4 linked regions of the Anolis sagrei genome follow. The protein of the gene in region 4 interacts with the protein of the main gene of each other region in a pairwise test. Links are inferred from orthologs where the notes say so. Each region holds a gene or a part of one and is shown on either strand. Other genes may lie near its edges.

Evidence for each region.
Region 1: the proteins of TCEANC (region 4) and ATXN1 interact in binary tests that used the Homo sapiens proteins (3 or more experiments, as listed by UniProt). The link is inferred for Anolis sagrei from reciprocal best matches to the Homo sapiens genes TCEANC and ATXN1.
Region 2: the proteins of TCEANC (region 4) and TARBP2 interact in binary tests that used the Homo sapiens proteins (3 or more experiments, as listed by UniProt). The two-hybrid records come from large-scale screens. The link is inferred for Anolis sagrei from reciprocal best matches to the Homo sapiens genes TCEANC and TARBP2.
Region 3: the proteins of TCEANC (region 4) and zinc finger protein 397-like interact in binary tests that used the Homo sapiens proteins (3 or more experiments, as listed by UniProt). The link is inferred for Anolis sagrei from reciprocal best matches to the Homo sapiens genes TCEANC and ZKSCAN7.

The regions. Positions count from the first base shown.
Region 1 is NC_090024.1:81,545,373-81,553,196, reverse strand, and holds the start of ATXN1 (ataxin-1), read left to right. Parts: upstream 1-4,814; 5' UTR 4,815-5,120; intron 5,121-7,824. UniProt on the Homo sapiens protein: Chromatin-binding factor that repress Notch signaling in the absence of Notch intracellular domain by acting as a CBF1 corepressor. Binds to the HEY promoter and might assist, along with NCOR2, RBPJ-mediated repression. Binds RNA in vitro.
Region 2 is NC_090022.1:190,334,368-190,341,874, forward strand, and holds the start of TARBP2 (RISC-loading complex subunit TARBP2), read right to left. Parts: upstream 3,024-7,507; 5' UTR 2,941-3,023; coding exon 2,879-2,940; intron 1-2,878. UniProt on the Homo sapiens protein: Required for formation of the RNA induced silencing complex (RISC). Component of the RISC loading complex (RLC), also known as the micro-RNA (miRNA) loading complex (miRLC), which is composed of DICER1, AGO2 and TARBP2.
Region 3 is NC_090022.1:14,843,278-14,850,474, reverse strand, and holds the start of zinc finger protein 397-like, read left to right. Parts: upstream 1-4,184; 5' UTR 4,185-4,302; intron 4,303-5,653; exon of another isoform or gene 5,654-5,654; 5' UTR 5,655-5,853; coding exon 5,854-6,504; intron 6,505-7,197. UniProt on the Homo sapiens protein: May be involved in transcriptional regulation.
Region 4 is NC_090023.1:91,729,809-91,736,898, reverse strand, and holds the start of TCEANC (transcription elongation factor A N-terminal and central domain-containing protein), read left to right. Parts: upstream 1-4,076; 5' UTR 4,077-4,165; intron 4,166-4,501; exon of another isoform or gene 4,502-4,587; intron 4,588-4,784; 5' UTR 4,785-4,846; coding exon 4,847-5,000; intron 5,001-6,254; coding exon 6,255-7,090.

The sequences.
Region 1 (7,824 bases), on a different chromosome or scaffold from region 4:
GGGACTTAGAAGCAGTGTACAAACCATTAACACAGGACTTCTAGTTTATCAGGTAATCTCCCTTCTCTAAGGCTGTGTCACAACAAATACTTGAAATAACATTTTGTTCTCTGGCATCCTGATCATTTCTTTTCTGGACAGGTATGCTTTCTCCAGAAGTTACTATAGACTTGAGTAGAAAGATCTAGAGATTTCTAGAGGAGTATGGTATGGGGGGCCGCAGTAGTACAGTTGCTTAAACCACTAAGCAGAACTTGCTGATCAGAAGATTGATGGTTCGAATCTGCGGATGGAGTGAGCTCATGTTGTTAGCCCCATTTTCTCGTAACTTAGCATTTCAAAAACATGCAAATGTGAGTAGATCAATAGGTACCGCTTCAGTGGGAAGGTAACGGTGCTCCATGCAGTCATGCCGGCCACATGACCTAGAAGGCATCTACAGAGAACGCTGGCTCTCCAGCATAGAAATGGAGATGAACACCCCCCCCCCCCCAGATTTGGACATGACTAGACTTAATGTCAAGGGGAAAACTTTACCTTTTTAATGGTATGCTAGGACCAGAAGTCAGGGAATTTAATGGTATCCAGCCATATCTGTAGTTTAATGTAACTGGTCCAGCAAGAAATGTATCTCAGGGAGACTGGGGTCTTATTCTAGTTATACACTTCTTGATGACATTAAATTAGTACATATTTTTGTCCATTGGATCTTAATTTTAACTCAGGTATACTTTAACCTGGCTTGCTTATGTTTCTTTTAGGAACCCCTATAGTGCTAGTGGAGATCATGGTTTCAAACATGGATTTCTTAAAGGGCCTTTCCATCTCTAACAATGGCATCTTATAGTCCTAATTGTTGTCAGAGAATATTCCTCTGGAAGTTCAGGATCTCAAAGTTGTATCTTTTATTGATTGCAATGAGTTTGGTGGTTCTCTGGTAAATAAATAAATACATACATACATATATACATACATACTTTATTTATATACCGCTCTATCTCGCTGAGGGGGACTCAGGGTGGTTTCCAAGTAACATCACAAAAACATACAGAGTAAACAGCATGACATAAAATTAACAAAACAACATAAGCATAAAATAATCACAATAACACATATATATTAAAAAATAATCCTGCCTGTTCAGAGTTATTAAAAGGTTGGGCCAAGGCTAGTGCAAACTCAAAATATGAGGGAACCAAGAATTAATTACAGTGCTATAACAGGCTAACAACAACAGCAGGTACGAGTCTGCGGCTGCTCATTTCCAGGGCATTTTAGAGGGATGACCAGGGTAATAGATAGGAAGTATAAGGCCATATTCAACAATGTTTGGGGCTGAGCTAGAACTGCTCATTCTCAAAGGCTTGTTGAAACCACCAGGTCTCCAAGCTCTTACGAAAGGAGGGGAGGGATGGGGCCCGTCTTATTTCCTTTGAAAGGGCATTCCAGAGGCGGGGGGACACCACCGAGAAGACCCTTCTCTCTCATCCCTACCAATCGTACTTGTGACATTAGTGGGAGTGAAAGGAGGGCCTCTCCAGAAGATCTTAGAGTTCATAGATGGAGATGCAATCGCGTAGATAGGCGGGGCCTGAACTGTTTAGGGCTTTATAGGTCATGAAAGAAAGAAGTTGTTAGCATAAGCTTTCATAGGCGAAGTCTGCTTTATTCAATGCGTGGAGTAAAGTTCCTAGAAACAGATATTTATATCTATGACAAATAAGTTAGCTTGCTATTCTTCCATATGTGGAATTACAGGTTGCTTACTTGTAATTGCTTTTCTTTGGTTATTCAACTCTTCCTTCTCCACTGCTACTGTTTTCTCTAGAGTGTAGAAGACGTCTGATCTGGAAGTTACTTGTATAAGGTCTGCTATGCTGTTCTTCCACAGATGTGAAACTTTCCTTTAGTCCTACTGAAGAAGCTTGAACTGCAAAGGTTTATCTTCCTTTCTTCTGATCTCATTACTTTTGCAATTTCCTTCTGGGTTTCTGATCTGTCCTGTTAACTTGCCATCTCTTGAGGTTATTGCTTGGTTTGTTATGATGCAACAATTGCCTTGCAATCGTCCTGGAAATGAACTTGTATATCTGAGGTCTTGGGTGGTATCACATGGGTGCCTTTTCGTTTTGTCTCTGAATGAGCAAAGGTTTGCATACTTGGGAGCCAAAATCCTACTGCTTGGGGAGAATGAGAACTTGTAGTTGTGAAGTTGACAAGCAAATTTTAATATATTATGTACCCTAGGATGTTTCTACCGCACATGTTCCCTGATAGCTATTAATTATGCCATGCTGCACATATGCCAATGTGGAAATGGACTGAAATCCACAAAGACTCATGCTAAAATATATCAATTAGTGTTAAGATACTGCAAGATTCCTTCTCCTCTCCTACTCTTCTTTTTATCACATCTATCCTGTTTTTAATAATTTAAAGGCTTGCATTTCCCCCTTCAAGAAATAATAAAAAATAAAAAAGCTGAGTCTAATAGAATGTGTCAGATTGAGAGAACACATTTTCAGAAAATAAAATGCCGATCTGCTATTCTCTCAGTTCAGTACAAGGAGTTGCTTCCTATAAGGCTTCTCTCTTGGCAATGGCTTACTTTCAGTGATAGTTACCAGAGCAGTACCAGTAACTAAATAAGATTCCTCAGCACTGGTTTGAAGAAACTTCATCTTTATTCCTCATCTTCTGTTGTCAAGGCTGTGTTTTCTTCCTTTCAACAACAGTACAGCCTTGAATGGGCAACTGGCTTTTCAACACAATGGCTTTGTAACACAACATGATTCAGCAGTCGGTTCTTTACCACCAGTACCTTTCCCCACACAATATATGTTACTTGCTTGTTATTTATGCTTACATCTTTTCTTAGAAAGCACTTCTGTTCTGGAGAATATCATCTTCTCCCATGGACTAAACATACATATTTTGCTGGGGCTCTGCAATGCCCTCTTATAGTAAACATAAAAGTTTTCCTTTGACATTAAAGTCTAGTCAAGTCTGACTCTGAGGGGTGGTGCTCATCTCCATTTCTATGCCGAAGAGCCGCCTGTTGTCTGTATATGTCTCCAAGGTCATGGGGACGGCATGACTGCACAGAGTGCCGTTACCTTCCTGCCAAAGCAGTATCTATTGATCTACTCACATTTGCATGTTTTTGAAATACTAGGTTGGCAGAGCTGGGTCTAACAACTGGAGCTCACCCTGTCCCATGGATCTGAATCACTGACCTTCCGGTCAGCAAGTTCTGCAACTTAGCAGTTTAACCTACTGTGCCACCGTGGCCCCTGCCCTCTTATAGGATCATGCTAAACACAGATTGTATATTCACAATATCACACTTATTCGAGTAGCAAGTGTGCTGTCTTTTGGGTGCTGTAGTATGTCTGTGAGCACCTTAATATCCCAAATGCACTGAATCTTGTCTGATCTTGGAAGCTAAGCAGGGTTGGCTTTGGATAGTACTTGGATGGGAGACCACCAGTGAACACCAAGCGCTGATTAAGCTATATTTTCAGAGGCAAAACTATTCCTGACTGTTCCTTGCCTAAGAAAACGCTATGAAATCCACAAGGTTGCTAGATGCTGACCAGCAATTTGAAAGCACACGTAGCATGTTTACAGCATGGGTGCTCTATTTTGTGAACACTTGAGGTGCCTATAAATTGTGTTGTTGAAGACTTTCATGGCCGGAATCACTGGGTTGCTGTGAGTTTTCTGGGCTGTATGGCCATGTTCAAGAAGCATTCTCTCCTGACATTAATAATAAATAAATAATAAAACTTTATTTATACCCCGCCACCATCTTCCCGAGGGACTCGGAGCAGCTTACATGAGGCCAAGCCCAACAACACATCAAAAACAACAAGCAATAAACAAAATCAACAATAAAATTTATATAACTCATAAATAGACAATAACACACAAGAATTTAAAAATCTATGGCTGGGCCAAATGTAATAGTTAAAACTTTAAAAATAAATGCTGGACATGAGCAGAGGATGTATCTATTTGGAGGGTTTTAAATCAAAAGTAAAGAGCAACCCAACGGGTAAAGTGCTTCTCAGAGTGTTTGCAGGGGATTTCACCCAAATCTATGGCAGGCATCCTCAGAGGTTGTGAGGTCTGTTGCAAACTAGGCAAGTGGAATTTATATATCTGTGGAATGTCCAGGGCGGGAGAAAGAACTCTTGTTTGAGGCAGGTGTGAATGTTGCAATTGGGCACCTTGCTTAGCACTGAATAACCTTTCAGCTTCAAGGTGTGGCTGCTTCCTGCCTGGAGAGAATCCTTTGTTGGAAGCTGCCTATAAATTGTAGAATTATTTCAGTTTGGCAGCACTAACTGCCACGGCTCAATGCAATGGCATCCTGGGAGGTGTAGTTTGGCAAGAGAACGCTAAAGATCTTATGAAACCACAACTATGATTCCAGAGTCATAGGCAGTTAAAGCAGTCACTAACCAACTGCTTTAACCTTGCAGTATGTATGCACCCTTGGAAATCATTGGAATAATGCATTTAGAGGGCCCTTTGTCAACCTGTAAAGGGCCAGAGTTGCTTGCTCCAACTCTGGTGTGTGTGCTATAATGATTTCTGAATGAAGTGTGGCTATGCAGAGGAGAGTCCCAAAGCCAGGGTGTAGTAGTAAACAACAGCAACCACCAGAGTATTTCCCTTCCTGGAGACTGAGGGAGCAGCCCCTGGAAAGGGTTAAGGCTGGTTCCGCCAGGCTCTGTTGTGCGTCTGCTATAATCTGTGTGGCTCTCTTGGCCGCCTGACAAAAGTGTTGCCTCCTTCTCCTCCCTCCTTCCCTCCCCTTTTGCACGGAGAAGTCGAAGCCTTGAAGCCGATGCAGAGGCAGCCAACTGCTCCATATTTGGCTTCTCTTCCCTATTTGCATACAGTCCTGGGGAAGGAGAGAGAGAGAAGAAGAAGAGAGCTGCACCGCAGACATCACTCCTACTCCAAGGGCCGAAGGAGAACAGCCGTCTCGCAGGGAGGGGGCACGAGCAATAATTAGAATAATTATTATATATGATACCTCCCTCCCTCCAAAAAAAAAAGCATTTTCAGAAAACAAACCCCAGCCCTTTGCGATCAGCTGGCGAGACACTGTGAGTCTTTCCCCTTCTTCTCTCCCTCTAACTCCCCCTCCCCCCCTTTCCTTTCCCACTTTTACACAGTAAGTGTAAAACAACCCCCCTCTGCTTTCGCTTCTCTCTCTTTCTCTCCCCCCCCCCCCTTTAATTCCTTCCTCGAATGAAAAACCTCCAGCGACTTCCAGCTGGAAAAACACACGGGCGGCTGCTTCAGAAGGAGGGAGGGAGGGAAGGAAAGGAGGAAGGAGAGAGGAGAGTCAGGCAAGGCAATGGACTGTCACCTCTACAGCTGGAAGTCCCTCTTTTTCTAGGATCGCCCCCCTTTTCCTGCCCCATCCTGAACTGGAGAGGAGGGAGGGAAGATGGTAAAAAAAAAAAAAAAGGGGGGGGGGAGCCAGGGAACCCTGTCGTACTGCTGTGATTTATTATTATTATAACATCATTATCCACACTTATCCCAGTCAAAAGGGGAGGAAGGAGGGGAAGAAGGCAAAGAGAACCTTGTTACTGCATTATTATTATTATTATGCATTATCATCAACACCTAAACCCAGTCAAAACTGGTTAGGGAAGCAAAGAGGGGGACCCCACTTAAAGAACATTGTCATTACTGTATTATTATTATTATTATTATTATTATTATTATTATGCATCATCATCAACACCTAAACCCAGTCAAAACTGGTTAGGGAAGCAAAGAGGGGAACCCCAGTTAGAGAACATTGTTGTTACTACATTATTATTATTATTATCATTATTATCATGACCATCATTCACACTTAAACCCAGTCAGAATTGGTTAGGGAGTTAGATAACATTGTTGTTACTGCATCATCATCATCATCATCATCCACACTTAAACCCAGTCAAAACTGGTTAGGGAAGCAAAGAGGGGGACCCCAGTTAGAGAACATTGTCCTTACAGCATTATTATTATTATTATTATTATTATCAGTATCATTATCATCATCATCATTCAAACTTAAACCCAGTCAGAGCTGGTTAGGGAAGCAAAGAGGGGGACCCCAGTTAGAGAACATTGTCCTTACAGCATTATCCTTATCATCATTCACACTTATCCCAGTCAAAAGTGGGGAGGGAAGCAAAGAGGGAGACCCCAGTTAGAGAACCTTATCCTTGTGAGTGCTGCAATACTATCATCATCACCATCACCATCATCATCATCATGATCAACACTTAAACCCAGTTAAAACAGGTTAGGGAAGCAAAGAGAGGGACCCCAATTAGATAACCTTGTTGTTACTGTGTTGCATTATTATTATTATTATTATTATTAGATACACAAGATCAGTACACAGCAAACAAGATCACTATGCTGGCTGTTACCCCCTTCCCTTTTTATTATCATTATTACCACCACCATCATCATCCACACTTAAACCCAGTCAAAACAGGTTAGGGAAGCAAGGAAGGGGACCCCAGTTAGGGAATCTTGTTACTGCTGCAGTACTATTATTATATGCACAAGATTAGTACACAGCAAACAAGATCACTATGCTGGCTGTTGCTTCCTTCTCATTATTATTATTATCACCACCACCATCATCATCCACACTTATACCCAGACAAAACTGAAGGAAGCAAATAGGTAAACCTTGGTTAGAGAACTATGTAGTTACTGCTGCAATACTATCATCATCATCATCATCATCATCATCATCAACAACACTTATCCCAGTTAAAAGTGGGGAGGCAGGAAGGCAAGAAGGCAGAGATAGCCATGTTACTGCATTATTACTATTATTCATCCACACTTAAACCCAGTCAAATCTGGGGAAGGAATCAACATTGTCATTATCTTCATCATCATCATCCATATTTAAGCCAGTCAAAAGTGGGAAGGCGGGAGGTGAAGAAGGAAAAGGAAGCCTTGATACTATATTATTATTATTAATCCACATTTAAACCCAATCAAAACAGGGGCAGGAATCAGCATTATTATTATTATATTAATCCACACTTAAAACCCAATCAAAACAGGGGCAGGAATCAACATTATTATTATTAATCCACACTTAAACCCAATCAAAACCGAGGCAGGAATCAACATTATTATCATAATCATCATCATTTACACTTAACTCAGTCAAAACCGAAGAGGGGCAAAAGGGGGAACCTAGTTTGGCATTATTATTCTTATCCTTATCCACAGTGAAGCCAGTCAAAACAGGGGAGTCAGGAAGGGAAGAAGGCAAAGGAAGGAGGGGGGCAGTCAGGGAACCTTATTATTATTGCAGTATTATTATCCTCCACACTTTGGCATTGAATGTTTGTCACTCTGTTACTTTGGCTGAGTCCCACTAGATAGAGCGGTATATAAAGTATTATTATTATTATTATTACTTGGGAGTTGGGAGTGCAGAGGTGACCCATGTCCTCATAGTCTCCCTAAAACAGGCCTGGGCTAACTTGGGCCTTTTCTCCAGGTGTTTTGGGCTTCAACTCCCACCATTCCTCACAACCTCGGGCCCCCTCAGCTTAAGCGGCTGAGGGAGAAAAGGAAGGGGCCTGAGGCTGTTAGGAATGGTGGGAGTTGAAGCCCAAAACACCTGGAGGGAAGGCCCAAGTTGGTCCTAAAGTACAGGAGGGGTAGTGCCTCCTTGTTTTGTGGGTGGCCTGGTGGGGCCAGAGAGGCCTTGGTAGTAGCGGTGCTTTCCTTTCACTTTGCCCTTTCGCGAGAGAGAGAGAGAGAGAGACG
Region 2 (7,507 bases), on a different chromosome or scaffold from region 4:
AGGAATTCTGGGAGTTGTAATCCAAAAATGGGAACTTTTCCATGTTCTGATTCAAGAGGTATGTTGATTTTTTTTTGTACAATACAGCAATAAAGAGCTATAAGTTCTGTGTTTTACATCAAAATGAGTGAGCAAAAGGGCCTAGTTTTATATAGATTGGATAGAAAAATTATCTGACAAACTGCAGTTCTATTTAAGCCCCGTGATGAAGTATGCCAGACTTTGAAATGTTGCACAACCCCACTCCCACTATGTACAAGTGTCTTTGTAAACATGCATAGACATATCCAAGCAATTTGGATCTGTTGCAGAGGGAAAAGTGAGGTATATACTAAATTAATAGATCAGAAAACAACTCTCTCCCCTCCTGTATTCTTTCTTATGTCACATAGAATCCACTGCACTCATAGCAAAAGGATTTCACCCCTCCCCTCTCTTTTAGAGAGGATTGGTTGCTTTCAAGTCCCTTCAAGTCCACGTCTTAAGTCACGAGAGGTGAAATGAACTGGACACTGTACATGGCTGTTGTGTACAGAGTGAGGCAAAAATCATCTATTAGATATATTTAATCATACAGTCACCTCTCCATGTTTTGTGGATTTACTTCTGTGGATTTTTCATGGATTTGATTTGAAATGTTCTCTCTAGGAGTCTCTAGGTCCTCCAGTCTGACTTCATGATCAACTCCCTCCAGTCCTGCTGGAGCACCCAAAGATTTCCAGAAAGAGTCTCTCTAGGAATGTCTAGATAGGAGCTTTCCAAACATTTCATGTTGATGACACACTTTTTAGACAGGCATCATTTTGTGACCCAGTTTTACTAGCATACTGGAGGTTACATCAACCTTGCACAATAAATAAGGACACATATATACACTGTAATAATGAAATGTATGGAGACACAACGTATATCATGAAAAACTTTCCTTTATATTTTTGAAATATATTATTTATTGCTTATTTTGCATAAACTCAGAGATTTTTCATTACATTTGTGCAACACAGCTACACACTGCAGCCAACACATTAACATGTTGCAACACACCTCTGCTTTAGATCCTCCTATGAAGTTCTATTATCAGCTTTTAGCAAAAGATGACTGTAAAGTCATGCTGGAAGACCTAGAAATCCCTAGAATTTTTTTTAATTTCTTAAATTTAAACAAATTTGTCCAAGTCTTCTCATAGGGCCCTTCCACATAGCCAAATAACCCACAATATCTGGTTTGAACTAGGTTATCTGAGTCCACATTGCCATATAATCCAGTTCGAAGTGGATTTTATACAGCTGTGTAGAAGGGGCCTTTGAGGAAAAATATATAGTAATTTCTTTATTTATGGTTTTTCACTTTCACGGGCTCCTGTGCCCCTAACTCCAGGAAATACAGAGGACTGCAATACAACTTTGTAATGTATTTATTTATTTACCACATTTATAGCCTGCCCTTCTCAACCCCGAAGGGGACTCAGGGCAGCCTTACGAAGGCAACAATTCAATGTCATATATTAATACATTGGTAAATATACAAAAATATTAAAACCAAACCCATTAAAAACATGACATTAAAACACCAATTAAAATCACATGTAATAATTGTAATGTAACAACAACAACAAAAATAAATAAATAAATGAGTGAAACATGTTTTTCACCATTGGTCCCTGCCAATGGACTTCTGCTTCATGTGTTTTGGCTCCTTTCCTCTTTGCTTTAGCCTCACAAATGACTAACCCAAGGTCACCCAGACCCCTTCTACACTACCATATAATCTAGTTGAAAGCAGATGATCTGGATTTTATATGGTAGTGTAGAAGGGGTCCCACTGAGCTCCAGGGATGCATCTACATAGCAGAATTAATGTGGTTTGGTCTCACTGGAATTGCCCGGGCTCTGGACCCCTTCATACAGCCATATAACACAGAATATCAAGGCAGATAATCCACAATTATGGAGCCCATGGTGGCGCAGTGGGTTAAACCCCTGTGCCGGCAGGACCGAAGACCGACAGGTCGCAGGTTCGAATCTGGGAAGAGCGCGGATGAGTTCCCTCTATCAGCTCCAGCTCCTCACGTGGGGACATGGGAGAAGCCTCCCACAAGGATGATAACACATCAAAACATCCAGGCGTCCCCTGGGCAACGTCCTTGCAGACAGCCAATTCTCTTACACCAGAAGTGACTTGCAGTTTCTCAAGTTGCTCCTGACACAACAAAAAAAATTACGCAATATCTGCTTTGAACTGGGTTATCTGAGGGGCCTAGGCCTTTCCACACACCCATATATCCCAGAATATCAAGGCAGAAAATCTTACAATATCTGCCCCTTCCACACAGCTGAATAAAACCACACATTTTCTGCTTTAAACTGGAATATATAGCAGTGTGGACTCAGATAACCCAGTTCAAAGCAGATATTGTGGGTTTTTTTCTGCCTTGATATAGGGTTTAGTGGAAGGGCCCATAGACTGAATGGGAGTGTGGACTCAGCTAACCCAATTCAAAGCAGATATTGTAGGTTATTCTGCCTTGATATTCTGGATTATATGTCTATGTGGAAGGGCCCTAACTTATCTGAGTCCACACTGCCATATATTCCAGTTCACAGCAGATAATGTGGGATTTCATGTGGGTGTGCTCTGTGGGGACCTGAATCCGCATCTCCCAGATTTTAGGGGATGGGAAGAAGGCTGCCTCTGAACCTCTCTAACCAATGGCAGGGAACAGGCCTAAATAAAGAGGGCGACCCCACGGGGGCCTTCCCGCTCTCCTAGCAACGCGTTACTAAGTGGGGCCTCGCGGGCACGGGTGTAGCCTAGCAACGGCGTTCCAAAGGGGCGGGGCGTGTCCCCTGGCAACAAACCCGCGCGGCGCGTCCTTCACCTGCCGCCGCCGCCGCCGCTCCTCGCGTTCCCGCAAGGCTCCTCCGCCTCCTCCTCGCTCATTCCCTCCTCCTGCCCCGCCGCCGCCACCACAACGCTTGCCGCCCTCCAGCCCGGCTGACAATGGCCGGGAAAGAGGAAGCCACGGCCCCGCGTCGCCTCCACCGCCTCCACGCCCGGCGAGGCGCATCCTGGAAGATGGAGTCCGCACCCGGCTCCCGGCCCTCGAGCCACATCAGCTGAAGAACTACAACACCCACAAGGCCTTTCGGCCGCGGAGAGCGGCTTTTCTCAGTGTCGACGCGCGAAACTCGTTCGCGCTGCATGCTGGGAGTAGTAGTCTCCTAAGCGTGTAACTCAGGCATGGGCAAACTTGGGCCCTCCAGGTGTTTTGGACTTCAACTCCCACAATTCCTAACAGCCGATAGGCTGTTAGGAATTGTGGGAGTTGAAGTCCAAAACACCTGGAGGGCCCAAGTTTGCCCATGCCTGCTGTAATTTATTAGCCAGGATTCGTTGCCTAATTGGAGATTAAGAAATGCAGTTTGAGACCACTGGAACTGCCAGGGCTGGATGCTATAGAGTCCTGGGAGTTATAGTTTGGTGAGGCACCAGCCCTCTTTGGCAGAGAAGCCTCAAAGGACAATTCTGAGCCATGGAAGTGCAAGTGCATGAATTAGGGCCTCCCCACACTTGAGGATCATAATAAATTGTGGCACGTTCTTGATGGTATGGGCATACCAAATCACCTTATCTTTCTCCTGAGGAATCTGTATAAGGACCAAGTAGCAACAGTCAGAACTGAGTGACCATGGAACAACAGACTGGTTCAAGATTGGGAAAGGCGTACGGCAGGGTTGTCTACTCGCACCCAACCTATTCAACTTGCATGCAGAACACATCATGCAATGTGCAGGGCTTGACGAATGCAAGGCTGGGGTAAAAATTGCTGGAAGAAACATTAACAACCTTAGGGTGGTGACGGCCGACAGGGAGCTCTGGCGTGGGCTGGTCCATGAGGTCACGAAGAGTCATAAATGACTGAATGAATGAACAACAACAAAACACACTTGAGCATTTGTCCACTTTAGTCCACTTTAAATGCTATGACTGCTTCAAGCAGAATTATTGGGCTTGCAGTTTAGGGAGGCCCAGGGCTTCTCTGGATGAGCAGTTTAAAAGCCCACTCCCTAAACTACAAATCCCAGAATTCTGCAGGAGGCAGTCGCAGTATTTAAAGTGGATTAAAGTGGATAAATGCTCAAGTGCGAGGAGACCTTTCGATGCACCCTGATGAGAGAGACGTAGTTTTAAAGGGGTATTTTCAGGGATGCTTCCAATGTCCCATATTGTCCTGATTTATTTATTTATTTAAAACATTTATATTCCGCCCTTCTCACCCAGAAGGGGACTCAGGGTAGAGCACAGCATATATATGGCAAACATGCAATGCCGGGACAAGATTTCATTATATGCATACATAAACATTAAAAAAAACATTTATTTCAATATTAAAAAAAACACTATTTAAAACCAGAGATTCTGCGTCTGGGGAGAACAAACAGTGGAAGACATTGAACATTTCTTAATTGACTGTCCAGCATACATTGAACTGCGAGACAGATATTTACATCCAATATTATCCAACTGCAGGTCCCCCAACAGAAATGATATTCTGACATCCCTCTTGAAGGTCAGGAAAGATCCAACATAATCAGAGTAAGCCTTTTTATTCTGAAAGCTATTAAGAAAAGAGCAGATTTCTTGAAAGAAGAACCAGACTTATCACCTTGTTGCCTTGTTTTTTTACTTGTGTTCTATTTTGAAATGGTCATATGACTGATCAAATAAATAAATATTATTATTATTATTACTATTTAAAATCGTCTTGGTCATCTGCGCCAAATCTAATTGGCCGGTAAAATTTCCTATTGCTTTATTGCCCTGTCCCGAAAGCTTGGTCCCACAGCCAAGTTTTTACCATCCTTCTGAAGGACAGGAGGGAGGGGCCCGATCTGATCTCACCAGGAAGGGAGTTCTATAGCTGGGGGACCATCACCGAGAAGGCCCTCTCTCTCGTCCCCACCAATCGTGCCTGTGACAATGGTGGAGAGCAGGGCCTTCCCAGAGGATCTTAATCTCCGCGATGGTTCATAGGGGGAGATGTGTTCGGACAGGTACATTGGGCCATGGTCATTTAGGGCTTTGTAGGCCAAAGCCAGCACTTTGAATTGTGCCTGGTAGCAAGCTGGCAGCCAGTGGAGCTGGCGTAACATGGGAGTTGTATGCTCCCTGTATGCCGTCCCATTCCGAGCAGTCTTCAAAGGCAACCCCATGTAGAATGCATTGCAGTAGTCTATCCTGGATGTAACAAGAGTGTGGACCACCATGACTAAGTCTGACTTCCCAAGGTACGGGTGCAACTGGCGTACAAGTTTTAATTGTGCGAAAGCTTCCCTGGCCACCGTTGTAACCTGGGATTCCAGGCTCAGTGATGAGTCCAGGAGAACTCCCAAGCTGCGAACTGCCATATGTGCCTGCTTTTGCAGAGGGCCTTTGTTTGCAGATGGTTTGGAAAAATATTGCTGCAGAGGGTAAGTTACTTTTCAAGGATAACAGTACATCAGGACAAAACTGGCTAGCTAGTTTCCCAATCGAGTTATGCTTGCAACAGAAGAACAGGTAAGACTGATTCATTTAGACAGCCAGAGTTGGAGACCAATAGATTAAAGTTGTGCCATTGTTAAGATCTCATGTGTGTCTTCATGCCTGTCAAAGTCATAGAGAGCCAATGAAATTTGTATTAGCCAGTTTAGACCAATGAAATGATTGATATTTGAACACCAATGAGAATGTGTTTTCAATTTTCTTTGAAAATGATAAAAAGGCCTTGCAACCCCATTTTAGGCTGTGACAAAACCTTTGATTGCATTTCTATATGCATTTTGATGTTATTGCTGTGGCCTACAATAAAAGTCTTTGTAGTAGGAAATTGTGGCCTCCTACTTGCATTGCTTCCTGGGCTTTTGAGTGGACACCTAAGTCGTTTGGAGTGCTAGTTGAGGCTGTGCTCTTGAAACTGAGGACAGACCACAGATTGATTCAGTAGGGCTTCTTCTTATCCCATCTCATTACAGTCTAAATCTTTTCTCCAAATAAAACAAAATGTAATGTGGCCATTCTATAGCCTTATACCTTGGCCCCTTCCACACAGCTGTATAAAATCCCACATCTGCATTGAACTGGGTTATATGACAGTGTGGACTCAGATAACCCAGTTCAAAGCAGATATTGTGGATTATCTACCTTGATATTTTGGGTTATATGGCTGTGTGGAAGAGCCCTGAGTCCACACTGCCATATAATCCAGTTCAAAGCAGATAATCTGGATTCAGGAACTGGATTACAGTGTGGATGGGGCCTTTGTGAACTCCACTGCTCTGACTTTTGAATAATAGGATTGCACTCTATATATAACTGTGCCATGTTGGCTTAGGACATTAAGACTGAGATGCCCTGCCTTAAGCAAAGCAAGATGCAGCCCCTCTTCCCATCTCAAAAGATATTTGAGCTGAAATATAATTGTAGAAAATGATACACTTATTTCTCTCTATTTGGCAGTAAGTATTTGTATTTTAAATATACTGTAAAATAACTAGCTATTTCCTCCCCTTCTGTGATGTCTAAAAACAGAGGCCTAACTCTGATGGATCACCATCATAGGCTGTCACTTGTGACTGAGTATGATTGCCTTCCAAATGTAGGGTCTTAGTGGTGGATCCGTAGGTGACTATAGAGGTATATTCTTGATTGATTTCCAGATGGAAGGCCGTCCCAATAAGGGTTGGCTTTACATGCCTTCCTCTTGGCATGTTTCTCTCTTTCACCCTCCATTCATGCTTCTTCGAATTCCCCAACATTGCTGGTCACAGCTGACCTCCAGTTAGAGCGCTCAAGGGCCAGGGCTTCCTAGTTCCCAGTTAACACAGTTTTTAAGGTTAGCTTTAAGCCCATCTTTAAATTTCTTTTCCTGCCCACCAATGTTATGTTTCCTGTTCTTGAGCTGGGAGTATAATAACTGCTTTGGGAGACAGTGATCAGGGATTCAGACAATGTGGCCAGTCCAGCAGAGTTGATGGCATAGGAGCCATCAACTCTGTTCAATGCTGGTGGTATTTGCTTCTTCTGCTCTCTGGGATTTGTCTGCTTGTCTTCCCAAGAGATTTGCAGGATTTTTCAGAGGCAATGCTGATGTTCCAGGAGTTGCATGTGACATCTGTACACAGTCCACGTTTTTCAGGCATATAGCAGGGTTGGGAGGACAATAGCTTTATAAACAAGCACTTTTATATCTCTAAGGATGTCCTGGTTCTCAATCACTCTCTGCTTCATTCAGAAAAATGCTGCACTTGCAGAGCTCAGGCGATATTTCAGTGTCAATGTTGATTTTTGTGGAGAGGTGGCTGCCAAGGTAGCGGAAATGGTCAACATTTTCTAATGTTACACCATTAAGCTGTATTTCTGGCATTGGAGAGGGATTGGCTGGTGACTGCTGGAAGAGCACTTTGGTTTTCGCGATGTTTAATGACAGGCCGAAATTCTCATATGCTTCTGCAAAGGTGTTTAGACT
Region 3 (7,197 bases), on a different chromosome or scaffold from region 4:
GGCCATCTGGCCATAGCTTTGCTTGATGTGGGGAGCTACGATGAAATCTATCATCCTTTGAGCTTTACACTTCAAGCCTTTCCAACACAGATATTCCTAGGTTACTGTTTAGGTGCAGCACCACAGACAGCTCCCTTGATGGGAAGGCTAAAATCCAAGCCTGATGATTGCTCCACTGACATAGAATGAAATGTGGATGAAAGCAGCTAAATCACTCCCTTGGGCACAATCATATTGCAAAGATTGCATTTTTTGATCAAGAGCAAAAGCAATATAATGGTATTATTGCTTCCCCTCCCTCTTCTCTCCCCCGAAATCTACACTTGTTTTCTGCAGCCCTGGAGACCAGGACGGGGAACAATGGCTTCAAACTGCAGGAAAGGAGATTCCACCTGAACATGAGGAAGAACTTCCTGACTGTGAGAGCCGTCCAGCAGTGGAACTCTCTGCCCTGGAGTGTGGTGGAGGCTCCTTCTTTGGAGGTGTTTAAATAGAGGCTGAATGGCCATCTGTTGGGGGTGCTTTGAAGGTGATTTTCCTGCTTCTTGGCAGGGGGTTGGACTGAATGGCCCATGAGTTCTCTTCCAACTCTATGGTTGTATGATTCTATGCTTTCTCATAAAATACAAACTGATGTGGCAATAATGAAACTAGAGAAATCAAAGCTAAAAATGTACTCCCTCTGTATTTAGAAATATGCTTCTGCTAAGGGTCCGTCTTGTCTGGAACATTTGTGGTTAGCACCTTAAAAATGTGCAATTAACAACTTTCACAAGACAGTTTAGGGTGAAGGCTAAAAAGCTGACAAAGTGTCTATTGCTGTATGGGGGGCGGGGAGCAATTTGGGTCTTCTACTTTCCATTGTCAAAAAAACATGTGATTTACAAGAAGTCAGTTAGTCAATGTGACAAATAAGGAATTAAGCTTAGGTGGTAGTCTGCAGTTGGATAATTTTTGCTGCAGTGCCAAAGAATATTGTGAGTCTTGTCTATATAATATGAGTTTGAGAGACACTGGGTGCAGCAGCCTCTTGAAAGTACCAAGACCTGCATGTTTGGTACAGCTGGCCATCTCTTCATGATCATGATGAAATAAAGCTTGCTTTTGTTCTACTCCTGAGACTGGCTGTTTGTCTGTTTGCCACCTGCCATCGGGCATTCGGTTGGGACCAAGTTTGGGGGTCCCTAAAAAACCATTGTGCAAATTAACATATACTTTCTAGTGAGGTGTACAGTATGTCCTTGGTATCTGCTGGGGTTCGCTTCTAGGACTTGCTTCTAGACCCCAAAATCTCTGGATGGTCAAATCTTATTATAAACAATGGCAGAGTAAATGGGCACCTCTTATATCTCATGGTAAAGAGCTCAAAATAGCACCAGAGAGAGACTGGGGATCTATGAAATGGTGGGACGCTACAGCAGAGTGTGTCAGCACATCAACCTAGTGCCCAGTGTATAGCTTTGGGATTTCCCGCCCCCCCCCCCCCCCAAATATTTTCAAACTGTAATTGGTTTAATTCGTAAATGCAAAATCCATGGGTATGAAAGACTAAATTTACCACCTTGTACCTCCAAACACTTCAAAACCTGGGTTGTTGTAGGTTTTTCGGGCTATACGGCCATGTTCCAGAAGCATTCTCTCCTGACGTTTCACCTGCAACTATGGCAAGCATCCTCAGAGGTTGTGAGGTCTTCAAAACCTTATTGTATCTCTTCCCAGAAGAAATTGGTACTATACCTCCCCACTTTGCACAAGACTGATTCTCCAGAAGGCAATTCTCTACCAAAGCTGCGCTTGTTGTCCCACTACTTGAGCAACACATCTCTCCTTTTCCAGTCAACTCAGAGCATGTCAGTGTCTGGGAAACCACGTCTGCAACAAGGAAAACAGGTTTCCTCTTTCCCAGAAATCCTGTGACGTGACAACATCACTGGGACAGAGATCTAGCATGAGCCAAACTCCAGCTTTCCTTACATGCTCTTCGTTAAGTATTTTTGGAATATAATTTACCATTAGGTGAACCATGTGTGGTCCTTGGGATGCAGAGCTTGGAAAGTGTACTTTTTAAGAAGCCAACCAAGATCTTAGATCAGCTGGCTTACATCTCAGCCCCAACCTACGTTAGTTGGCATCAGCTAGGACATCTAAACCCTAGACGGGCCGACCCTCCTTGGGAAGGAAAACACACGCAGAAAGGAACTGTGGGTGAAGAAGGGAAATCCTCTTTCCCTCTTTCTTTCCTTCGTTCTTTCTCCCCTTCATACCCTCTCTCCCTCTTCCTTCCCTTTTTTCTGTATTGTCATTTAGCTTTTTGGGGGTTTTAAGTCCTTTCTGCTGGGTTTTTTTTTGGTGGGGGGGATGAGTGATGATCACTCGTTGGTCTGTTAGGGGTATAGTGTCCAAATTTCATGTCAATTCATCCAGTGGTTTTTGAGTTATGTTAATCCCACAAACGAACATTACATTTTTATTTATATAGATAGACTACCCCCCGCCACCCTCCGCCATGCATTGATGTGGCCCAGTCTGTGTATATGTGTTTTGTGTGTGTGTGTGTATGTGTATATATGTAGTTTTGCGCATGAGTTGTAATGTATTTTTTAAGTTTTTGGCTTTTAAAGTCTCTTCCACTGTGTTTTTCAGTGTTTTTATGAGTGATGGTCACTCGTTGGCCTGAGAGGTGTATTGTGTCCATATTTGGTGTCCATTCATCAAGTGGTTTTTGAGTCATGTTAATCCCACAAACGAACATTACATTTTTATTTATACAGATAGATTAGCCGTCCCCTGCTATGCATTGCTGTGGCCCAGTCTGTGTATATGTGTTTTGTGTGTGTATGTATGTGTATATGTGTATATATGTGGTTTTTAAATTCTCATATCGTGTCAGCTTTTCCAGTTGTTTCTCTTCAATCCTGCTTTTACCTGGAATTGCAACATCAAGTTGTACATGAGTTGTAATGTAATGTATTTTTTATTTTTTGGCTTTTTAAGTCTCTTCCACTGTGTTTTTCAGTGTTTTTATGAATGACGGTCACTCGTTGGCCTGATAGGTGTATTGTGTCCACATCTGGTGTCCATTTGTCCAGTGGTTTTTGAGTTATGTTAATCCCACAAATGAACATTACATTTTTATTTATATAATTATTCCTGCATGTCAGAAGAGGTTTGAACTGGGTGGCCTTTCCACAACCTACGGAAAGGCTTCCTGTATCTTATATGGTTGTGTAAAAGAGAAGATTACAGCAGCTTGAAACCTGATGTTAGAACAAGCCAAACGCAACGAAATCCCCACTTCTAAAGCTGCATCTACACTGCAAAATTAATGCTGTTTCACACCACCTTAACTGCCATGACTTAATGTTATGATATCATGGGTTATAGTTTGGCAACGCACCAGAACTTTTCTTTTTTGACAGATCTTGTAAATAATAAATAAATACTACATCTCACTGGTATCTCAAGGGTCTGGAGAACAAGCCCTATGAGGAGTGGCTTAAGGAGCTGGGCATGTTTAGCCTGAAGAAGAGAAGGCTGAGAGGAGACATGATAGCCATGTATAAATATGTGAGAGGAAGTCACAGAGATGAGGGAGCAAGCTTCCTTTCTGCTGCCCTGGAGACTAGGACGCAATGGAACAATGGCTTCAAACTACAAGAGAGGAGATTCCATCTGAACATGAGGAAGAACTTCCTGACTGTGAGAGCCGTTCAGCAGTGGAACTCTCTGCCCCGGAGTGTGGTGGAGGATCCTTCTTTGGAAGCTTTTAAACAGAGGCTGGTTGGCCATCTGTCAGGGGTGATTTGAATGCAATATTCCTGCTTCTTGGCAGGGGGTTGGACTGGATGGCCCATGAGGTCTCTTCCAGCTCTATGATGGGATTTATAGTTTGGTGAGGCCCCAGCACTCTTTGGCAGAGAAGGCTACAGACTTTGTAAAACTGCAAATCCCATAATTCTGTAGCACTGAGCCATGGCAGTTCAAAGGGTGTTGAACTCAATATTATTTGAGAAGCATAGAGCAGAGCCAGAGGCTCTCAAAGCTCTTCCTCCTGTTCAGCCAAGGAGGGGTTAAGGTGATAGAGAGCGGGCCCCAGAGCGGCCTAATCCTCTAGCCAGGAAGAAGTGGGCCTCTGAACGTTCCTTCCGGCTTCCTGTTCAGGCTCCTCCCTTTCCGCTCAGTGTTCTTTGGCGCCAAGGGAGAGCCGGAAGAGGAAGCAAGGTTTAACTTTCCTTCCACAGAAAGCCATGGGACTGCCAAGAAATTCTGTTTGACTGTCTTGTGGTGGGAGTAAATTTCCAGGTAAATATTTGGACAGCTACGTCTAGACTAGGTATGGGCAAACTTGGGCCCTCCAGGTGTTTTGGACTTCAACTCCCACAATTCCTAACAGCCTCAGGCCCCTTAAGCGGCTGAGGGGGAAAAGGAAGGGGCCTGAGGCTGTTAGGAATTGTGGGAGTTGAAGTCCAAAACACCCGGAGGGCCCAAGTTTGCCCAGTTTGGGGTAGCCACAAAAACAAAGTTTCTGGAGTATAACAACTATTTCCATAGTCAGTACCACACAATTAAACAGGAAATAACACGTTCAAACCAGGAACAGAATGTATTTTTTCAAATCTTGTTACATTTATTTATTTGTTTACAACATTTATATGCTACCCTTCTCACCCCGAAGGGGACTTAGAGCGGCTTACAAGATATATATAGACATACAATATATTGTACTGGTCCATTTAGTTTTCTAGCGTGGGCTGGTCCATGAGGTCACGAAGAGTCGGAGACGACTGAACGAATGAACAACACAATATATTATATTATTAGCATAGTACAGGGTGAGGCAGCATAACTTCCTTTTTCAAAACTTAATAAAATCCATTGTATGAATCAGAATTTTTAATTTTTTTTAATAATGTAGGCGCATACCTAACATTTTGTTTTACGTAGTTTTGAAGGTCAAATTTGATATGTGACGTCTCCCATTCTCCATACACTGAGTAAACCAATTTCTGGCGTTTATCATGACTCTTGCCAGCATAGCAGGCGTTATGTTGGCAATTTCTTCCTGAATATCGGTCTTCAAATCTTGTAGGGTCCTTGGACAGTTCACTAAACATGTGATTTCAAAAAAAAAACCCATAGAAAAAAATCACAAGGGGCCAAATCTGGAGATCCGCTCGGGCCGGCCATTCCAGATCCACTCGAAAAGTAGGCCTCAAGGGAAAAAGCACGCTCCTCACTGTTCCAATGCATGATGGCGACTGAACTGTGTCAGGACAAAACTTTATACTCCCGCCTCTCTAATGAGACCACTAACTCTCCGCTATGTCTTCAACCAACTGAATGACGCACATTTAAAAAAGGAAGTTATGCTGCCTCACCCTGTACAATATTAGTATTATATATTATATTGTACTATACCATTATATTGTAATATTATTAGTAAAATTACATGTAATATAAAATATACAATTATAATATTGTATTATTATTAGTATTAGTATTATATTGTATTACATTATAATATTATAAATATTATATGTATATGCAATATATTATAGATTGGAGATTACTTACTTCTTATTTGCCCATCTTTAACAGAAAAATTCTCAGACATTTTAGACTTCAATTTAACAGCCTGTGTGTTTTTCTCTTAGGAGCAAAAGGCAGGTATATCTTCTGGAGGAATGGCTGGCTCACACAGATTTTATCAAGTCCTGGGCATTTAGCTGCATTTCTTGAAGAAGTGTGTCTGTGGATGAGTTGACTTTTTGAATGTTATGAGAAGAAGACAACCTAAGGACTGGTGCTAAAAAGCAGGAAGAGAGGCACAAAACAGGTTTCTTTGGAAAAGAAATGGCTGCAATACAAGAAAGAGGGTCCACTGGATTTCTGGGTCCAGTAATAAAAATGGAGGTGGAGGATTCAATAGGTCCTGAATCAGAAGAGGCCAAAGTAGGAGCACCTCTACCAAAAGGGGGAAGTGGTGGAGGAGAATCAGAACAAACAGTAAAACAGGAGTCAGAAGAAGAGCCGTCAAGGATCTGGGATGCTCAGTTGGAAAAGTTTCTGAGAACACTACAGTCTTCCTCTTCTGGAGGGGAGACACTCCAACAATCTCACCCTCAGGAGCTTCAGGTAGTGACTATGGATGATGAAAGCCATCTGGATGCCAAACATTCTGGGAAAGAGGAAACAGCAAGTAAAGGTGCTGTTGAGTTGGAGATACAGCGCCAGCATTTTCGGATGTTGATCTACCAAGAAGGCGAAGGGCCCCGAAACTTCTGGGGGAATCTCCGGAAACTCTGCCAGAAGTGGCTGGTGCCGGAGAGACGCACCAAGGAACAGATCTTGGACCTGGTGACGCTGGAGCAGTTCCTGGCTGCCCTGCCCCCAGATATGCAGAAATGGCTGAGGGGGCACTGTCCACAAACCTGCTCCCAGGCTGTGGCCCTGGCAGAGGATTTCCTTTTGATGCATCAAGGGCCCAAAGACTGGGAAGGGCAGGTGAGTTTTATTTTCCAGTTGGTCTTCTCAATGTCCTGTTGTCTTCACAGTCACAAGGTACAACCTGAACACTTAGTAGCCTTGACCTTTTTGTTACTCTTGGTTATCTGGTGTCTTTATCTGAACAGGAAAAGACCTCTTTATTTAGGGAGGATTTCAGTTTTTATTTTTTGATTTATTATTTACCATATTTGTATACTGCCTTTCTCAGCCCAGAGGCAACTCAAGGCGGTTCACAGTTGGCAACAATTCAATGCCACGACAATTAAAGTTAATTAAAGCAGCCATAAATACTATTAAAACGTTTAGCATATAGTATAAAAAACATTATCATAAACGTCTCCTTACACCTTTAATCAAATATGTTGTATCTATAGCGTATTGTTTTCCAGGTATTCTTTTTGACCAAAATTTGTGGTGGTTTCTTTCTGTGTTGTCTTTGAATATCCTTTGTTATCAAGTGTATTGTGAATCCTTGAATCCTATACTAAGATCAAGGTGGGGTATATATTTATCAATAATACTAGCGAACACATATTTTGCTACCTCAAAGGTTAGTCCTGTTTCTGGGGATATTTGACTTGCTGATTCCAAAAATGCAACCAGTTTCCCCTTTTCAGTTTTAGTTTTTGAGATACAGAACATATATTATTATTATTTATTATTACGGTCGCTTATACCCCGCCCTTCTCA
Region 4 (7,090 bases):
AGTTCAATAAAATCAATCAATCAATCAATCAATCAATAAATAAATAAATAAAGAGAAAGGAACCTCGCAGACCAGATTTTTGTCATCACTGCCCACTGGATGGTCCGTGGCCCACAGGTTAATAACCACTGACCTACAAGAATATGAAGCAATATCTTTGAAAGAATGTTTTATTTCAAGCAACATATAGGGTACAGTGGAGTAAATGTAATTGTATAGAGCCATGGTAAGGAACTGCAAATGGGCTGGGTGTTCAATCCACATCTTCTACCCATACATAGTTTTCCCCCCATATCACCAATTCATGCCCATGTTTTTGTTGAGATTCCTCTCATCATTGCAATAAATTTTCATACTATGTTTGCCAGAGGTACTTTTTACATAATAGCATTCTCTCACATTGCTGGATCAGGCTGTTTCTCTGTCTTGTTGTAATAAGAGAAATGAAGAACATAATCCAAAGGGGAATCAGCATATTTAAGACCCTGAAATCAATGGACGTAAATGTATAACTTATATGTGCCTATATGCAAGAAAACATATGTTTGGTTCCATCTCTCTTGTGTGCATTTTTGCTTAAGTTATTCATATTTCACTATGGGGAGAAAGTGTATTCTGCGTGTCAAAATATGAAAAATGTGAATTGCCTTTTGTCCTCCCATTATTCTTTCTTCTAATCTGTAGACACAAAATGTTCTTACAAAGAAGCACTGTAATTAATCCTCCTCACAAGCGTCCATAGTTAACAGAATACATGAAACAGATATTTCTGTGCTGAATGATGTGTCCAAGTTCTATTGTTTTTGGGACTTATTCAAGTTTTAAAAATAAATAACAAGATGTATCTTCAAATGTTTAATATTAAATCTGATGACAGATATGTACTAAAAATTAGAAAAAAACATTTCCAAAAGCAGTGTGATCTGTATAAGTTACGAATTGTAAACTTGAAAGAAGTTATTTTGAAAACACATACTATTTGTGCTCTGTGTGCATTGCATACTGTTTTTCATTAGAATTAAGCTTGTATTGTAACTGAAAAGACAAGAAAAAGTTACAAAAATGTTGGTGTTGAACAAGTATTTTCTTGTGCTAGTGAAATGGGGAATATAAAATTAGAACACATAATCTTCATTTGCTGGGTTGTTGTAGGTTTTTCAGGCTATATGGCCATGTTCTAGAAGCATTCTCTCCTGATGTTTCACCTGCATCTATGGCAAGCATCCTCAGAGCATCTTTAACCCTATCTTTAATCCTCTTTTGCTATCCACCGACATTCTGTTTTTTGTTCTTGAGTTGAGAGTAAAGCAACTGCTTTGGGAGACGGTGATCAGGCATTCGGACAATGTGGCCAGATCAGTGAAGTTGCTGGCGGAGTATCATCACTTCAATATTGGTCGTCTTTGCTTCTTCCAGAACGCTGATGTTAGTCTGCCTGTCTTCCCTAGAGACTTGTAAAACTACACCTATGAGATACTAGGATTGTCTAGTCGAGTACTACTCAAAAGTGGTGGTCGACAATGACCACCAGGGAAAAAAGAATTGCTCCACACAGGAAAAAAAGAATTGCCAATTTCTCACATCACAGATTGGCAATTTTAAGAAGTACTGATCTGTTTTAGTTACATGTGGAAATCTGCCGAGGAATCTTAACACAATCACATTCCATTTCAAAATGAAAAGATTTTTGTAAAGAAAGGTGAATGGAGAAATCAAAATAATAAGTTCTCTCCAAATACTTTAGGACTTACTTTAAACCAAATTAATATAAACTCAGCTAGATTCCATGACACAAGTCAGGAAAGGAACAAATCATCAAGTTGGAGGTTTTTCCTTTACATCTAGCTTCACTTTTTTTTCAATACAGCGAGTCAAGTTAAATGTTCCTCTCTACTAAAAAGTCAGTCCCAAATGGCATTCCTTACAGAGCACAGATAGGCCTAATGCCTTCTGGCTGAGTGGGAGCCAGTGGGAGCATACATAGTAGTGTGGAATAGCTGTGATCTAAATCTGATCAAAGTACATTAATACGGGATATAATGTTTAATACACCCAATGGTGCCCTCTTCTGGTTTGTTAAGGTTTAATGCAGAAGCACGAGGAACTTTCAACTTGTTTTGGGCCCCTTCCACTCAGCCATATAACCCGGAATATCAAGGGAGATAATCCACAATACCTACATTGAACTGGATTATCTAAGTCCACGCTGCCACATAATCCAGTTCAATGTGGAAGCTGAGCATTGGTGGAGGTTTCTTTCTTTTTTGCAGCATCCTTACAGATACCACAGCAGGGTACAGATATAGTTAGAATAATAAAATCTAATTGACACTGAATAAACTGGGAACATAAAAATGAAAAATGAGCACCCAACCCAATAGCTTAGAGACGAGAGGTGAAGAAGGCACACAAGAGAAATGTTTAAATATTTGAAAGGACATCATATTGTTAGCTGCTGCTTTGGAGACTAGGACACAATGGAGCGGTGGATTCAAATTGCAGGAAAAGAAGTTCCACCTAAACATTAGGAAGAACTTTCTGACAGTCAGAGGAGCTTTTTTGGCAGTGGATGTATGGCACCTGGGATTTAATGGCAGTCCCCCATCCAAGGACTAACCAGGACTGACCCTGCTTAGCTTCCAAGGATACGATTTCATTGTAGAATTGGCTCAATCCTATGGAATCGTGGCTGTTGTAATTTTAAAAGGTTTTTAGCCTTCTCTGCCAAAGAGCGCTTTAGCCTTGTCAAACTACAGCTCCCAAGATTTCCCGAGCATTAAGCCATAGCGGTTAAAGTGGTTTCAGGCCACATTGTTTGTACACTGTAGATAAGTGTTTATCAGAAGAGGTCATGAGGAGGTGTCAGAGGGGTCGCCAAAGACCATCAGAAAACAGTATTTTCTGTTGGTCATGGGGGCTCTGTGTGGGAAGTTTGGACCAATTGGTGGGGTTCAGAATGCTCTCTGATTGTAGGTGAACTATAAATCTCAGCAACAACTCCTAGATGTCAAGGTCTATTTTCCCCAAACTCTACCAGTGTTCACATTTGGGTATGTTGAGCATGTGTGCCAAGTTTGGTCCAGATCTATCATTGTTTGAGTTCACAGTGCTCTCTGGATGTAGGCGAGTTACAACTCCCAAACTCAAGGATAAAGGCCACCAAACCCTTCCAGTATTTTCTGTGGGTTCTGTGTGCCAAGTTTGGTTCAATTCCATCATTGGTAGAGTTCAGAATGCTTGTTGATTGTAGGTGAACTATAAATCTCAGCAACTACAATTCCCAAATGTCAAGGTCTATTTTCCCCATACTCTACTGGTGTTCACATTTGGGTATGTTGAGTATTTGTGCCAAGTTTGGTCCAGATCCATCGTTGTTTGAGTCCACAGTGCTCTCTCTGGATGTAGGAGAACTACAACTCCCAAACTGAAGGTCAAAGCCCACCCTGCTCTCCCTGCTCTCGCTCCCACCAGCGTCACAAATATGCCTGGTGGGGATGAGAGACAGGACCTTCTTGGCTGTAGCTCTCCACCTGTGGAACTCGCTTCCCAGCATTTTCTGTGGGTCATGGGAGTTCTGTGTGCCAAGTTTGGTTCGACTCCAGCATTGGTGGAGTTTGATTGTAGGTGAACTATATCTCCCAGCAACTACAAATCCCAAATGACAAAAATCAATCCTCCCCCAATCCCAAATTTGGGCATATCGGGTATTTGGGCCAAATTTGGTCCAGTGAGTGAAATTACACGCAGCATATCAGATATTTACATTACAATTCACAAGTTTGTAAAATGACAGTTATGAAGTAGCAACAACATTAATTTTATGGTTGGGGGTCACAACATGAGGAACTGCATTAAGGAGTGGCGGCATTAGGATGGTTGAGAAACACTGATGTAGATAAACTCACACCAAGGTTTCAAGGGCTTTTTATTTCCAAGTCAAAAGAGATATCAGATATTCTAAGAGATATCAGTACAATTGCTCTGACGCAATTGATAGCCCTCAGCAACAGCGGCTGCGCAAAGACACAGCCCACGCCGCGCATGCTCAGATTGCCCAACGAACCGCAAAGGTTCTTTCCAACTCACGCATGCGTGGTAGGAGCCCGAGCAGGAGAGGGGCGGGGCCACGGAGGGTGAGCTGAAAGGCCTCCTTAGGAAGGATAAGGTGAGCAGATGAGGAGGGATTTAATCATACCTTTCGGGGAAAAGTGACTTTGGGATCATATTTCGAATAATTATACATATCCTTGTTTATAAGAGATGAGTAAAATCCTCGTGTTCCCATCTGTTGTGGCCTCTTCCAGTTTTGTGATTCTATATGTGGAGTAGCCTTATTGACCATGAAACAAAATCCCAGATCCACTTTTATTAGGTCAGCCAGAAAGTGCAAAAATCATGATGTGCTAACTTTTGAACCACTCTGGCTCAACAATAGATGGATTAATAAGATTATGTAAAGACAGATGTTAGAGTTACAGGCCTACATTTTGCTTGTTTCGAGATGTTACAGAAATAGCAAGTTGTGCAGACAAATCCAGGCCCTGGGCCTCCCCTCCAAAAACAAAGCAACAAAAGTAATAAAGCAAGGTATTAAAACTACTATCCTCCAGCTGTTAATAGTGCCTTTGGGGACTCAGTAGTGCTTCCTATTATGTCCTCCCTTGAGACCCTATGTTTGGTACCAGCAGTCTTGGCTCCATATGACAAACAGCCTTTCATATGGTTTGGATCTCAAGAAACTCTGTCATATTGAAGTATTGAAGGATAATTAAGGTTTTCCACAGGTAACCTGTTATTATTTTGGTAGATGTGATTATGCTAACTCTGGCCCAGCTTACTTGTCTGAATGCATATTCCGCTACGTCCCGCCTTGCAGTTTAAGATCATCTGGGGAGACCCTGCTCTCGCTCCTGCCAGCGTCACAAATATGTCTGGTGGGGATGAGAGACAGGACCTTCTTGGCTGTAGCTCTCCACCTGTGGAACTCGCTTCCCAACGAGGTAAGATCAGTTTCATCCCTCCTGTCTTTTAGGAAGAAATTGAAGTCGTGGTTCTGGGACCAGGCTTTTGGACAGCAGGCATAAATAGCGCTTGGATATGGAATTTGACTGGAATGGTTATACGGCAGTTAATACTGTTTTTATTGTTTTAATTAATGTTCTATTATTGTTTAATTGTTGTTATATTGCTTTGTTATATTTAATGGCATCAAATTGTGCGAAATGTAAACTGTCCTGAGTCCCCCTTCGGGGGTTGAGAAGGACGGGGTAGAAATATTGGAAATAAATAAAATAAATAAATAATCCAGTGTTTCTCAACCTTCCTAATGCTGCAACCCCTTAATACAGTTCCTCATGTTGTGACCCCCTAACCATAAAATTATTTTTGATGCTACTTCATAACTGTAGTTTTGCTACTGTTATGAATCGTAATGTAAATATCTGATATCCTGATGTATTTTCATTTACTGGGCCACACTGGGCACACAAACCCCATACATCCAAATTTGAATACTGGTGGGGGTTTTTTTTGGGGGGGGGGAGTAGATTGATTTTGTCATTTGAGAGTTGTAGTTGCTGGGATTTATAGTTCATCCATTTCTTTTTACTTTGAACTACACTGTAATAAATTATCCGATTTACGTAGTCATTCTACATAGGGCTGCAACGTTACTCATTTTGTTTTATGCATTTAAAATAATTATTTCCTACTAGGACAAGGTCCCCTGGTGGCATAGCAGGTTAAACTGCTGAGCTACTGAACTTGTTGACCAAAAGTTCAGCAATTCGAATCTGGGGAGCAGGGTGAGCTCCTGCTGTTAGGCCCACCTTCTACCAACCTAGCAGTTCAAAAACATGCAAATGTGAGTAGATCAATACCTGCTTCTGCGGGAAGATAACGGTGCTCCATGCAGTCATGCTGGCCACATGACCTTGTCTACGGACAACACAGGTTCATCGGCTTAGAAATAGAAATGAGCACCCCCCCCCCCCCCAGAGTCAGACATGACTGAACTTAATATCAAGGGAAACCTTTACCTTTATCTTTTCTCCTAGGACATGACAATAAGCATCAAGAAAACATATGACATTCCAACAATACGTTGGTTGAATGTTGGATGAGACATTTATTGAAAATCCATCTATTCATCCAGAAAAATGATCTCAATTTGATTACATTTGTTGTGTCTGTATTAATATAGAGATGTATGTATAGTGCCTTCAGAGAAACATAATTCTTTCCATTTCTTTCAGGATTTGAAATGTCTAATACAAAAGTCCTCACATCTAGAGCTGACTGTATAGAGAAGCTACTGTCAGAAAGAAAATACCAAGATATTGGGATTCATCTTACATATCTTGAAACGATTGATATCACTATAGATGACTTGCAAGAGACTGATGTGGCCAAAGCTGTGTTCAGAGTCTTCAAGAATTGTCCCTCCGTGGTCCTGAAAAAGAAGGCAAAGCACTTGCTCTCAAAGTGGAAAGCAGTTTATAAAAAGCATTGCAGTCCATCAGTACAACTTCATTTGGGGTTATCTGAAAATGCAAATGAGGATTCAGATCATCTTCAAGTAGTCTCTGAAGATATAAACCCTTTGGGAAAATTGAACCAGCAGGAAAAATTGTGTCCTGCCAGTCCCAGTCTGGCATCAGAAAGCCCTTCAAGTAATGCTGGAAGTTGTGTGCAGAAAGATAATACAACGGAACCAGATCTGGGAAACGCCAATTCTATTAGTGAAACAGGCCAACAGTATAGTCCCATTGTGGCTGTGAGGGCGAAATGCACACAACTTCTTTATGAAGCATTGACTGATTCCTCAACAAGTAATGAAGAAATTGCAAAGCACCACAAAACAGCTGAAGAAATTGAACAACACATTTTTGCACTTCATGCTAACAATGATAAAAAGTACAAAAATTGCATCCGGAGCAAAGTTTCCAACTTGAAAAATCCAAAAAATTCTCACTTAAAACATAGCCTGCATATTGGAGTTCTCACTCCTCAGACATTTGCTAGTATGTCTGCAGTGGAAATGGCACATGATGAACTAAAGCAGCTTCGGGCTTCGTATACAAAATCAGCT